Linked DNA regions of Macaca fascicularis. The protein of the gene in region 1 interacts with the protein of each later gene in a biochemical or structural test. Links are inferred from orthologs where the notes say so. Each region holds a gene or a part of one and is shown on either strand. Other genes may lie near its edges.

Region 1 (4,989 bases):
TGCCTAAAATCGCCTGGCATACAGTAGGCATTTAATAATCTTTGAATCAGTGAAAACCAGATGGTGGCTTGGCATTTCTGCATAGGAGTGAGCCAGGTGGAAATCATCCAAGATACAAGTAGATCTTGAAGTGATAAGGAAGGGTCCTCCTCATACTCATAAGTGGGGACCATTTTGCCCTTTGTTTCTTTTCTCTAGGCTCAGCAACAGCCTCACCAAGGACTCCATGAATATCAAAGCCCATATCCACATGTTGCTAGAGGTGAGAGCAGCTCACCCCACTACCAGACTCTGTGTTTAGGGTGGTGACCTGAAGAAGGGGGAGAGCGAAAGAAGGGAAGGACCATCTTTCCCTTTAAACTGGAGTCAAGGGAGGGAGGTCAGAGCAAGCCTGGGGGCGTAACCCAGACTCAATCTTTGTTCAGTCTCTTCTGTCCTCTTTTTCAGGGGCTTAGAGAACTACAAGGCCTGCAGAATTTCCCAGAGAAGCCTCACCATTGACTTCTTCCCCCCATCCTCAGACATTAAAGAGCCTGAATGCCTTTGAGTCACATGGCCCTTCTTTTTCCCCATAAACCCTGCTGGTTGCCACGGGGGCCTGTTCCTAGGGCACAAAGTTACTGAGAGACCCAGAGATCCAGTCTCTTTCTGTGGAACCTCTAAAATGCCCCAACAGTCCTGCCTCCAGCCTGTTGCCTGGCAGCATTTGCCAGTTGACCTTGTGCACTGCCCTCTCTCCTGTCATTTTGGCAACCTGGGCCCCCACCTCACCCTTCCATTCCTTTTCCTAGACACCACCCATTGAATTGCCATAGAGAATGGGCCAATTCATGGTGGAGGTTTGTTCATTCCCACAACAATCAAAGGGCCCTAAGGTTTACCCTTTCACACACCCAATCGTTACCCTAAATCCATCTCAGCCCTACCTTGTCCTAGCCCCTGCTATTGTAAGTGGTTCCAGCTTCTAATAGGCACGGAGCTGGATCCCGCTCTCCCTAGTCCGGCCCCTATTCTAGGTTGAGTCCAGCCTCCGCCAATCAACGCAGAGCCAGGTTCCTCCCCTTTTTAACTCTGGCCACAGTTCAACCCTGCCCTCTGAAGGCATTTCGTTTCTGCCACTCAATGCTCCTTCGTGTGCCTGACAGCCATCCTGCCTTCCTACCGCCGCTGTGTTCTAAATTCGTCTTCTACCCAGCTCTATGGTCTTCTCTAACCAAAGAATTGCCCTGCCCGCCTACGCGGAGCCCAGCCCGACCCACTCCCGCCGACTGCTACGCCCATTTCTATACAAGTCCTGCTTCCGCTGAGCAGCGTGGCGTGCGGCACCACCCCCTTGGTGTTTTGGCAGGGGTCTAGGAGTCCCTCATCCGCCAATCAGAGAAAAACAGGGCTACCCACCCCCGTCCTTGGAGGCTGTCTTCCATCAATCCCATGTAAGCCAATCAGTGTGAGGCAGCCCCCCGCCCTCTACACACACGCCCCGAGCCTCGTCAGTTGCTCACAGTCCGTCAGTCCTTGAGCCAATCGGCGTAGAGCACCGGGAAGGCCGAACGCGCCTCCTCGGGACTCCAGGGGCCGTGAGCGTTCCATCATTTCCCCTTAGGCCAATCACGGCACAGCTCTGTGGGGAAGGGCCCGTCCCCCAACCCCTCGAGGCCTTGCGGCCGATTAATAGCGCTTTGGCCAATCAGCGAGCGGCGGGACACTGGGCTCCTCCTCCCCGGGCCCACGTGAGCCGTAGGGAAACGCAGGGGCGGCTTCTAGGTGCTGCCGCCGCCGCCGCCGCCACCGCCACCACCACCGCCACCGCCGCCTCGGAACCCAGGCCTGGGGGGCGGTGGGGCCGCGTATGGAGCCCCCGCCCCCCGGAGCTGCCAACATTGCCAACGCCACCGCCACGCTACACACAGGTGAGCTCTGGGCCTGGAGGGTGGAGGGCCCCGTCCGTGACCCCACGTATCCTTCCCGCCCCCGCGCAAAGGATGTGGCTTGGCCGGTGGCCTGCTGGTGTTCGACTCCCCGCCGCCACCACCACGGCTGGTGGACCTGCGTGTGGCATTGCTCAAGCCCTTCGTCCCTTGTAGTGGATCTGACCGTGGCCTAACCTCCCCCTCCCGTTGTGTAATGGATCGGTCTGCGTGCTTATGTTTTTCCCCACGCCAACTTAGGGTGGACTCGTCCATAGGCTTTCCCCCTACCCCCACCCGCCCCCCACCCACCCCCACTTACAGGGAGCCAGCCTGTGACAGTGTTCAGCCCCCTTAATAGTAGGTGTATCTGAGTGTTTGGATTTCTCCTAGCCTCAACTTTCATAAGACCCGTTCGTGGCCTTGTTTATTCCACCCCTCCTGTACATTGTAGCGAAATCAATCCGTGGCGCCGCACCCCTCCGCATCCCTCTTTAACAGTGAGTCTACCTGAGTTTGTATTCCTGCCTCCTCCAGTCCCCCAATGCATCAGTCCATGGCTTTTTTCAGAACCACCTCCCCCCCGCCCCCACCACCACCACCATTTTATAGTGGATCAGTCTTCATGTTTGGATTCACGTCCCTTTAGCTATCAGTCCATTGCCCTATCTGCCCTCTCGTTTTCGTAGATTGTCACTCTAGCCCTTGGGGTTCTCTCTTATTTTTAATAGTGGGTCAGTTTAGTGCTTTATATCTCCCTATTTTCAGTAGCTCAGTCCATAGCCTTTTCCCTCTCTGCTTTGAATCAGTCTGTGTGATGGCTTTTCTCTCCCTTTACTGTGGTGCAGGAGTCTGTAAGGTTTTCTGCTCCCCTTCCCCTCAGGCGATGAGCCTCATCACCCCTTCCCTTTGCAGTGGATCTGTTCATTGGCCTTCCTCCCCCACACCCCTGTATGCTTGCACAGTCCCCCGCATACCGTCCCGTGAGTCCAGTGCTTTGTAATTGGGGGAAGGTCGGCCGTGTACTTTCAATTTCCTTCTTTTTTTTCCCCCTTCCCAGAAGAGAACGTGCTGATCCTCTTTTCCTTGTGGAGCAGTGTATGGCCTTGCCTGTCCCTCACCTCTTAATAGTGGGTCAGCCTGATCACACTAGTAACCACAAAGACGTTCTGCCTCACTACAATAAGTGAATACATTAGCAACAGTGATGATGGTAATGCCAGTAGGAGCTAGCGTTTATTGAGCACCTGCTGTGTATCAGGCAGAGTGTTTCATATGAATGAGTTCCTTTAATCCTCACCACAACCCCATGAGATAGGTAGTGAGCGAGCTGGGCCATAGGAAGGTTAAATTCCTTACTCAAAGGTGGCCCAGGAAGTACTCAGGACACAGGATAATTTTTGAGGCTCCCCTCTTAGACCGCATCCCACCCCACGTGAGGCCTCAGTCCTTAAAAACCAAATTAGTTCCCACCTCCAAGCTTTTGTTCTTGCTGTTCCCTCTGCCTGCAGAGTGGTCTTCATTCCCCACCTTCTCTCAGCACCCACCCACCCCCCAATACCAGCAGCTGTGTGACCTTCGATGTGTGATTTAACCACTTCCTCTCTGTACCTTTTTCTTCATTTGTGAAATGGGGGATCAGAACTAGAATCCCCTCCAGTGTAAATAAATATTACCTGTGAATTAATGGTGAAACAAGTAACCTTTCTAGCATTACCGCCTATACCTTCCCACCCCCTTACTGTGCTCCAACCACACTGGCTCCACCACACAGCTCCTCAAACATAGCAGGCATGGGCCAGCCTCAGGGCCTTTGCATTGGCCGTTCTTTGTGCCTTGAACACCACCCCCGGATCTCTGCATGGTTCCTTTCAGCACTCTGTTCAAATACCAACCCCCAAAGGATGTTTACCACACTGTGGTGTGTGGAATGCAGTATAAAAAGATACATGTATCAAAGATGTTTCTAAGAATGCCAGTTTATATATGAGTAAGGATTTTCCTCCTTTTCAAAAGGATGTGTTCACAAGACTGAGGTATGTAATATGCTCTGTAAAGTTACAAATATAAAAGCTGTTTCTAAGAGTGCTACTTGTATATGTGAATAAGGACTGTGTTGTTGCATTGAAAGAATGTGTTCACAAAACTGTGGTGTGTAGCTGGGCACGGGTGTGCACCTATAGTCCCAACTACTCTGGAGGCCGAGGTGGGAGGATCACTTGAACCCAGGAGTTCCAGGCCAGCCTGGGCAACATAGTGAGATCCCTGTCTCTGAATAAAAACCAAAAAACAACCACTGTGGCGTGTGTAATACACTCTCCTAAAGGCACAGGCATAAGAGATGTTTCTAAGAGTGATTTGATTTTGTTGTACCTGGGTAGTGTTATTTCAGTAAAGATTGATTGTCACACCATGGTGCTTGGAATATACTATACGAAGGCACATGTATAAAGAAGAAGTTCCTAACAATGCTACTTGTAAAAACAAAAAAAGTCAACCCCTCCCTGGCCATCTGAAGCTGCACACCCAGCAGGGCTCAAGCCAGGTCCCTGCTTTGTCCCATTGCCCTTTATCACTGTCTGACACACTGTGTGGGTTGTTTGTTGTCTGTCTCTCCACATTAGAATGTGAGTCCCATGAGGACTCAGTTTTTGTCTGCTCATTCACTGCTATGTCTCCAGCAACTGAAAATGTACCAGGTAAACAGCAGATGCTCAATAAGAATTTATCCCATGAATAAATGGGAAAAAGATAATTTCAGACACCAGCATAGGGGTCAGATGGGGAAGAAGAAGGGATATGAGAGCTAGTTAGTTGGGGCTGTTCATGCAACCAACCTTTACTGAGCCCCTCGTGAGTACCAGGCACTCTTCTAGGTGCTGGAATATGGCAAGGAACAAAACAGGCCGAAATATCTGTGCTTGTGGAGCAGACATTTATTAAAGTTGGGGAGGCCGGGCGCGGTGGCTCACGCCTGTAATCCTAGCACTTTGGGAGGCCGAGGTGGGCGGATTGCCTGGGCTCAGGAGTTCGAAACCAGTCTGGGCATTACGGTGAAACCCCGTCTCTACTAAAATACAAA
Region 2 (4,389 bases), on another chromosome or scaffold:
AGAAGCAATATTTAAATCAGTGCTTAGGTTCTCAGGTGGCCTTTAGTAACTGTTAGCCCTGATGGGTAGCCCAGAGGTCATAACAGAAATGGTACTATTTAGTACCAGTTAGAAACCTAAAAATGTGCCATCAGGCTACTTGATTTTTCATATCTGTTTTCTGGGGGAAAATGAACAGAATTTCAACAGGAAACTTGAGATCTGGAAACACAGCCTTTAAATTTTATTCTTACCATAGTAGTAGGAGGAGATATTTCTAAAAGAACTTTATATAGCAGTTGCTTACGTTAGAGATTTTGTATCTTGGGCATTTACCATGAGCTGAAATTTTGGCTTCTTTTCTTATTAGATACTGTTGTCTAAGAAAAAAACACAATGACTCAAACTTTAGATTTATTGTATTCTTCTCATCAACTCAACCATTTCCTCTACTGTGATATTCCAAAATATACACATTTTAAGATGGGATAACAGTGACTTTGTTTCCAACTTCTTGTCATGTTTAAACTGAAGATTTCATTTCTTGACTGGTTTTATGCACTCTATGTTAAATTACCTGGTTTTGAATGTAGTCTAAACTGTGAAAACGGTACGTGAAGGATTGCTGAACCCCGTCTTAACTGTCGCTGAAATATGTCTCTGCAAAGGGGTTAGTCCATGCTGTAGTCTTAGCCAGCTCACTGTGCTCTTCATATGTGTGGTACCTTGAATGGAAATAAGCAGATTTTTCCTTGTTACTTATTAAAAAGATAATATATTCAATGTATATTCTGGCATTGCTGTGTTTTCCAAAACGGTTCTAATGGATTGTGCATTATATTTCCTAATTCTAGTGCTGCATTTGATACAGTTCTTGGGATAAATGTTGCAGTCAAGAAACTAAGCCGTCCTTTTCAGAACCAAACTCATGCAAAGAGAGCTTATCGTGAACTCGTCCTCTTAAAATGTGTCAATCATAAAAATGTAAGTTATGTGTGTATTTTGTCTGTGTGCTTCCATGTTGTCAATAATGTGAGAATCTTCAGGGTCTTCTGGAGATACATTGAGTTCAGATCTAGGATAAGCTAAGGATAAAAGTGACTATTAACATTGTTATTTTATTTTATTTTATTTATTTATTTATTTATTTATTTATTTTTTGAGATGGGATCTCGCTGCGTCACCCAGGCTGGAGGTCAGTGGCGTGATCTCGGCTCACTGCAAGCTCCGCCTCCCGGGTTCACGCCATTCTCCACCTCAGCCTCCCGAGTAGCTGGGACTACAGGCGCCGCCACCACGCCCGGCTAGTTTTTTGTATTTTCAGTAGAGACGGGGTTTCACCGTGTTAGCCAGGATGGTCTCGATCTCCTGGCCTCTTGATCCACCTGCCTTGGCCTCCCAAAGTGCTGGGATTACAGGTGTGAGCCGCTGTGCCCGGCCTATTTTTTATTGATAAAATTCTTAATAAACATTGAGGAAATTAAAGCTGAAAAGAGGCATCATTATGGTTCATAGGAATTTAGGTCACTCAACCAGAGTAGGAATATCAGTTGATACTGTTTCTGTAAAATAGGAACAGTATTGATCCAACAAATTGAGAAACAACTAAATATTTTGTGGAAAGATGTTGTTCTATAAGTAATTTTTTACCTTGTATATGACATCTCAGTTTCAAATACACTTATTAGATGATGTCACATTTAGAGTAGCTATTCTTGGAAGCGCCACAGAAATCAAAGCACTAAATTTTATGGAGAAATAATGTTTCTAGAAAATGAAGTTGTGCTCAATCAGGCACATTGTATGTTCTCCTAGTGGTCGCTGCTGAGCATTACGTTGATAACCTTGCCAAGTTATAAAATTATAAAATGTTGGCAGGGCGCGGTGGCTCACGCCTGTAATCCCAGCACTTTGGGAGGACAAGGCGGGTGGATCACCACAATCAGGAGATCGAGACCATCCTGACTAACACGGTGAAACCCTGTCTCTACTAAAAATACAAAAAATTAGCCAGGCGTGGTGGTGGGCGCCTGTAGTCCAGCTACTCGAGAGGCTGAGGTGGAGAATGGTGTGAACCCGGGAGGAGGAGCTTGCAGTGAGCAGAGATCGCACCACTGCACTCCAGCTTGGGCGACAGAGCGAGACTCCATCTCAAAATAAATAAATAAATAAATAAATAAATAAATAATGTTAAATCTGGAAGGAGTTTTTTTATTTGTTTTGTGTTGATTTTTTAGACAGGATCTCATTCTGTCACCAAGGCTGTGATTCTCCCACCTCAGCCCCCCAAGTAGCTGGGACTATAGGCGTGTGTCACCATGCTTGACAATTTTTTAAATTTTTTGTAGAGTTGGGGTCTTACCGCATTGCCTAGGCTAGTCTTAAACTCCTGAGCTTCCTTCTTTTGAGTCTGTGGCTTGAGTTGGTTTTAATTTCTCTAATGCATGCTTTATTTTACTTGTTTATTTAAAAAAATTTTCAGGTTACAAAAAATATATATTATTTTTAAAAATTCAAACAATATAAAAAAGTAAAAACTCCTGACTACCACCACCCACAGAGTACTAGCATTAACAATTTGGTGAGCATTCTTATACATACATGTACACAAGTACATAAACAAGATTAATCGTGTTATTCTTCATCCTGCTTTTCTCCTCACGCAGTGTGGGTTGACCTCATGTACTTTAATTAACATAGATATAAGCCAGTTTTTAAATGACTGAATAGCGCAGATGCACAGTAATTTAAGAGACTGCCAACCACCTGTTGTTGGATAGATTGTTTTGTTTCTCACTGTTATAAGCAGTGTTGCAATGAACATTCTTACGCCTGAATTTTTGCACACTTGTCCAGGTGAAGTTCTTGGCCAACATTGCCGGGTCAGAGTACACACTTCTGGTTTATATATATTCTACTTTAATATATACTGACAAATTGATCTCAAGGAAGACTATTAGTTTGATATTTTCATTAAGAGTATCTGAGAAGCTGGGCATGGTCCCTTCCACCTGTAATCCCAGCTACTTATGGGGCTGAGGCAGGCGGGTCGCTTGAAGCCAGGAGTTCAAGGCACACCAGGGCAATAAAACAAGACCCCATCTCTTGAAAAAAAAAGTGTCAGCTGGGCGCTGTGGTGCACGCCTGTAATCCCAACACTGGGAGGCCAAGGCAGGTGGATCACCTGAGTCAGGAGTTTAAGACCAGCTTGGCCAATGTGGTGAAACCCTGTCTCTACTAAAAATACAAAATTTAGCTGGGCATGGTGGCGGGTGCCTGTAATCCCAGCTAATCGGGAGGCTGAGGCAGGAGAATCGCTTGAACCCAGGAAGCGAAGGTTGCAGTGAGCCGAGATCACACCATTGCACTCCAGCCTGGGCGACAAGAGTGAAACTCCATCTCAAAAAAAAAAAAAAAAGTATCTGAGAATGTCTGTTACTTCAGAATCCCCCAGCACTACATACCATTGATTTTTTTTTGTTTTACTTTTGCCAATTTGATAGATAAATGATATTTTTATTTGTGAGGTTGTCATTTATTTTTATGTGTTTTGGTAATTTAATTTTTATGGCCTTTATCCATTTTTCTTTTGGACTGCTGGTCTCTTCTGCATTTGAAGGAGGGTTTTTTTTTTTTTTTTAATATTAAAACTATTGCCCTTTACTTCTTTTTTTCCATTTGACTATGTTGTTGACATACTGATTTTTTATCGCCTGTTTTTTTGTTTCATTTTAATGTAATCAGATCCCTTAGGTTTCCTGTCAGGTTTAGAAAAGATTTTTCTACACCAGGATTATATAAATGTTTATCATATTCTGATGTTTTATTTCATGTTTTAGATTTAAATCTTTGTTCCATTTTGAGTTTATCTTGGTATAAAGATTGAAATATGGATGCAGTTTTATTTTTGTCCTTAGCTAACCGATCACCCCAATCCTATATAATGGATAATTCATCTTTCCCTCAGTCATCTGGAATGACTTAGGTTATGTGTTTGGTGCCTAAGCCGTGGGACTCGCTGTTTACACCATGGGGTGTATTGGTTCGTTCCTGCACTGCTGTAAAGAAATACCTGAGACTGTGTAACTTATAAAGGAAAAGGTTTAATTAACTCACAGTTGCACATGGCTGGGGAGACCTCAGGAAACTTACAATCAGGCGGAAGATGAAAGGGAGGCAGGCACCTTCTTCACAAGGCGGCAGGAGAGAGAAAAGTAAGGAGCAAAGTGGGAAGTGCTCCTTTTAAAACCATCAGATCTCAGGAGAACTCACTCACTATCACAAGAACAACATGGGGGAAACTGCCCCCATGATCCAGTCACCTCCCCCCAGGCTTCTCCCTAGACATGTGGGGATTATGGGCATTACAATTCAAGATGAGATTTGGGTGGGGACAAAGCCAAGTCGTGT
Region 3 (4,389 bases), on another chromosome or scaffold:
TAGGCATCAGTGCATACATGTGTGTGTGCACGTGTGTGTGTGTCTAAGGAAGGAAACGGTCCTCCTTTCCTTAGCCCTGTTCCTCTACTCACCTGGCTCCTGGACCTGGCTGTGGGACACCTGCATGGTAGATGGTGCCTGGGAGAAGGCATTCAACACGGTGAGGCTGCCATCACCCAGGCCTGAGGTGGGGGCATACATCACCGCATGCGGGCTAGGGTACATCATGTGGCCACCCACAGTTGTGGGCACGGATGACGTCATGATGGTGGCGGGCAGCGTCACTGGCAAACACAGACATGTGTCAGCTCGGTACTGGTCCCTACTGATATCTCCCATTCCCTAGGAATTCCAGGCCCCCAGAGCCCTCTTGCCATTTCCCAGGTCAGAAGCTAGACACGACTATTCCTCCGCTCCATCATCAACTAAGAAAAGCCTATTTTTTCTTGAACACAACAGCATCAATCTTTAATTGTATCCTATCACATTGTACTATTCAACTGTCTATCTGCTGAATTCTCTAAGTCCCAAATCTTGGGAAAAACAAAGATTATGACTGACCTACTCTCAGAAAACTCAGATACTCCCCTTTTAGGGAACTCTAACATCTTATTTTTTATTTGTTTTCATTCTCCCTCCTTCTTAATGCACAGCTAACAAATTCATCTTTCAAACAACCACTTCTCAAATGTTAATGTGCATTATATGGGTATCTTGTTAAAACACAGACTCTGGGCTGGGCGCAGTGGATCACACCTGTAATCCCAACACTCTGAGAGGCCGAGGCAGGCGGATCATGAGGTCAGGAGATCGAGACCATCCTGGCTAACACAGTGAAACCCCGTCTCTACCAAAAATATAAACAAATTAGCTGGGCATGGTGGCAGGCGCCTTTAAGTCCCAGCTCTCGGAAGGCTGAGGCAGCAAAATGGCGTGAACCCGGGATGCAGAGCTTGTGGTGAGCCAAGATCGCGCCACTGCACTCCAGCCTGGGCGACAGAGTGAGACTCTGTCTCAAAAAAAAAATAAAAAAACACGGACTCTGATTCAGTAGGTTTGGGGTAAGACTCAATATTCTGTATTTCCAACAAGCTCCCAGGTAATGCTGGGTGTTCCCAGTCCATAGGCCACACTTTGAGTAATAAGGTTATAAATAATAAGAACTTAAAATTAACTTTATTTTCAGAGTATCTCATCATTTCTAAAATGTCTAGAGATACCTGAGGGTAACTGTGGCTACTCAAAACCTGTAAGACCCTCACACAAAGAGAAAATTGCTCTCTAAGTCCTTCTTGATAATTAAGCAAACGTGTCTTTGAGCAAGTAACTTCTTATTTCTAGGCCTCAGGCTCCTCATCTGAATGAGAAGGTAGCATCAATGGTCCCTAATTTTCTTCTGGAATCCACAGCCCACTGCAGGGCGGGATTCAAAACTCAGTCATCCTCACCTGACTTTCCCATAATTATTAGGCCAAAAGCCTCAATCTCCACTTTAAGAAATCCCTTGACTTTGGTTATAGGAGGGTTACTGTTGGGCACCTACTGCTAGGCCGCGTGGGGGAAGGCAGGGAGGGAGGGTGACAGGGCTGCGAGCTATACCTGTCCCGCTGGAGGAGGTCTGCGTGAGGTCTGTGCTGCTGTCACGGGAGGGAGACGCCTGCTGTGGGGCCTGGTGCACTTGAATGGCCTGCACTGGGACCTGCTGGGCCACTGCCCCACCTGCAAAATACAGAGTCTTATTTGTGCTCTGTCCCACCCAATTGCCACCTCCACCAAGTACCCATGGACACCCCAGTCCCAGGGTCTGGCACACTGGCCCCCAACTCCCATCACTATCTTTCCTGGAAGCCAAAGAGGCCCTTCATGCCCGAATCTCCCCTCTGGGGGCTTCCACACTCTGCTCTTGCCCATCCCTCCTCCTCCTGCCCTGGGCCTTGCCTCTCTTTTCTTCAGTTGACCCAAGAGCTGGCAATAACCCATCAAGGACATGATCTGCCTTCCAGTCAAGGCAGGAAGTGGTGAAACGTCTACTGCCCTGTGGCAATAGGGGCACAGGGCTGGGGTAGCTAGACAGGGCCAGAATATATGGTTGAAACTTACTGACAAGGACAGCAGGGGTCTCAGTGGGCAGAGGTATGCCTGCCAACGGGACATAAGAGGCTTCTCTCAGGCTCTGGCCCCTATTCACCTTCCTTCTGAGCAGGGAAAGAGGTTCTCTTGGTGCCAGCCCTAAACACACTCTTAGCATGCTTGATTTGCCCCAGAGAGGACGAATCTCTCCCTTCCCCTCGTGACTCACCAGGCATGAGGGTGAAGCTGGTAGGCAGCTGCATAAGGCCCCCAGAGGAGACAGGGCCGCTGCCTGTACTCTTCAGCACAGTCCCATTGGCACTGCTGACAGCACTGGGGCTGACACTAGCAGACACTGGTGCCAGGTAGTTGGTGATGGGAAAGGAGGGGCCGCTGCTGACTTGCATGGTGGTAGAGGTGCTAGGTGCTGTTTGGATGGTAGAGGTTGTACCCGGCAGGTTGGTGACTGTGAACGCCGGCTTCAGTGTGTCCTATACCCAGAGTAAAGATGAAGCAATGAGCCTCTACCAGACCCTGCCTTTGCAGAAGTTTTGTGTGGACTGAGAACCCAGACTGAAACCAGTGAGCTTGGGTTCAAATCCCAACGCCACATTTACCTGATGCCTCACTCTTGGGTAAGTTATTGATATACTCAGCTACAGTTTTCTATCAGTAAAAGGAGGATAATACCTACCTCTTAGGTTGCTGTAAGGATTAAGTAGGTTAGCATACGTAAATCACTTAGAAAACAGTACCTGGCACATAAAAAAATAAATAAATATTTGCTGCTCTTATGATGATGATTATCATTTTCATCATTATAATCCCCTGAGTCCTCTGCTCCAGTGGACTGTGGTAATCCCATTGGCTGGAGAGTCAGGACACCAAAGTCTGTTCCTAGCTCTGGTAATGACCATCTAAGTGACCCTGAAATAACCACTCCCCTTTTCTGAACCTCGGTTTTCTTCTTCTATAAGCATAAGGGGGCTGGGCTGCTATGTTTTCTTTAAGAGTTCTTCCAGTTCTAATTTGTCAGGCTTCTGAGATATGAACTGAGAGTTTCTCGGGGAACTTAGAGTTTGAGAGAGATCTTGAGGGTCTGGCAATGACACACTATATGTCAAACACCCAAGATGTAAACTACCAAAAGAATGTACTCATCCAACAAAATTTCCTGGGAATAAATGAGCCCTGCTGTTATAAAAGTTTAAAAATTATTACAGATGATATACCACTAAGAGAGCGGGGAGCCTACAGCACTGACTCTCTCCTCAGGAAGACTTCCTTCTTAGAAGGGGAAGGAGGAAACTGAGAACCAAGCCACCAAGCCCAGACCCGAACTGAGTCAACCAGAAGCTCAAAGGCTGGGGGGGTGGGTCAGCACGAGACGTTTGCTAAGCAGCTGGGCCCAAGACCCTTGATTGGCGGAGGCGTTGCTAAGGCAAACAGTACCGCTTCTTCCCATTGGCCAGTCAGTTAAGTGCCACCCGGAAGGTGGAGCTCCCCAGACAGCAAGGGAGGAAGCCCCACCCCCTCTCCTTACCGGGAAAAGGAAGGGGTAGGAGTAACAGCGCAGGCATCCCTAGCAGCAGGCAAATGCGTTCCCTAACTGCCCAGGCCCCCAACACCCTGAAGGGGCAGGCGGCTGGCTTGTAAGGTAGTCCCCGGTCCAGTCAACTAGCCCACCTGCTAAGAGTGCTGGGTTCTCAGGACCCCGGAACCGGAGTGCTCCCTTTCTACTCCCTGGCGACCAAGCCCGGAGGGCCGGGCTAAGCTACACCCCCGCCCCTAGCGGGGAGACAGCTGGCGGGAGGAATGCAAAGGCCCTGCCAGGCAGGCGGGCTGCGGGCGGGAGGCCGGCGTGGAGCCCGAGCCGGCCTTATATGGGCACGGAGGCCGCCCGCTTATCTAGGGGGCCGGTCTTCTATCAGGAAAGTGAGGATGGACACCTGTCCCCTAGGACAAGGGTCGTTAATCAGGCTCCACTCCACATCAGTGGGTACCTATCCACCTGCCCTGGGCCAGAAAGAGAGAGGGACCCCCCTCCCTTCCCTCCTCTCACATAGGCAACCCAAACACACCTTGGTCTCCCCACTGCTGTCAGACTCCGACACCTGGTAGGTGAGATCTGTCTCTTCAAAGCCAGTGGCACTCATTCTCTGGTCTGTTGTGGGGTCTGAGCGGGGTGGAGAGTCTGGAGAGTTGAGGCAGGTCTGAATCAGTGCCTTGCCGGTCTCACTGGTGATCATGGGCTGCAGTTTTCGTGTGGCAAAGGTATACACATGGCCTGTCTCACTGGCCACCAGCAACAGCACCTGT

What was found. The genes of interacting proteins can lie anywhere in the genome.
Region 2: of the proteins of ELK1 (region 1) and MAPK9, one has a biochemical effect on the other in vitro, tested with the Homo sapiens proteins (2 studies listed by BioGRID). The link is inferred for Macaca fascicularis from reciprocal best matches to the Homo sapiens genes ELK1 and MAPK9.
Region 3: the proteins of ELK1 (region 1) and SRF form a complex in vitro, tested with the Homo sapiens proteins (2 studies listed by BioGRID). The link is inferred for Macaca fascicularis from reciprocal best matches to the Homo sapiens genes ELK1 and SRF.

The regions. Positions count from the first base shown.
Region 1 is NC_088395.1:47,747,874-47,752,862, reverse strand, and holds the start of ELK1 (ETS domain-containing protein Elk-1), read left to right. Parts: upstream 1-1,737; 5' UTR 1,738-1,910; intron 1,911-4,989. Other genes in the region: protein UXT, read left to right, coding at 199-262, 448-501. UniProt on the Homo sapiens protein: Transcription factor that binds to purine-rich DNA sequences. Forms a ternary complex with SRF and the ETS and SRF motifs of the serum response element (SRE) on the promoter region of immediate early genes such as FOS and IER2.
Region 2 is NC_088380.1:187,169,204-187,173,592, reverse strand, and holds part of MAPK9 (mitogen-activated protein kinase 9), read left to right. Parts: intron 1-833; coding exon 834-963; intron 964-4,389. UniProt on the Homo sapiens protein: Serine/threonine-protein kinase involved in various processes such as cell proliferation, differentiation, migration, transformation and programmed cell death.
Region 3 is NC_088378.1:128,355,831-128,360,219, forward strand, and holds part of SRF (serum response factor), read right to left. Parts: coding exon 4,152-4,389; intron 2,562-4,151; coding exon 2,300-2,561; intron 1,720-2,299; coding exon 1,600-1,719; intron 285-1,599; coding exon 93-284; intron 1-92. UniProt on the Homo sapiens protein: SRF is a transcription factor that binds to the serum response element (SRE), a short sequence of dyad symmetry located 300 bp to the 5' of the site of transcription initiation of some genes (such as FOS).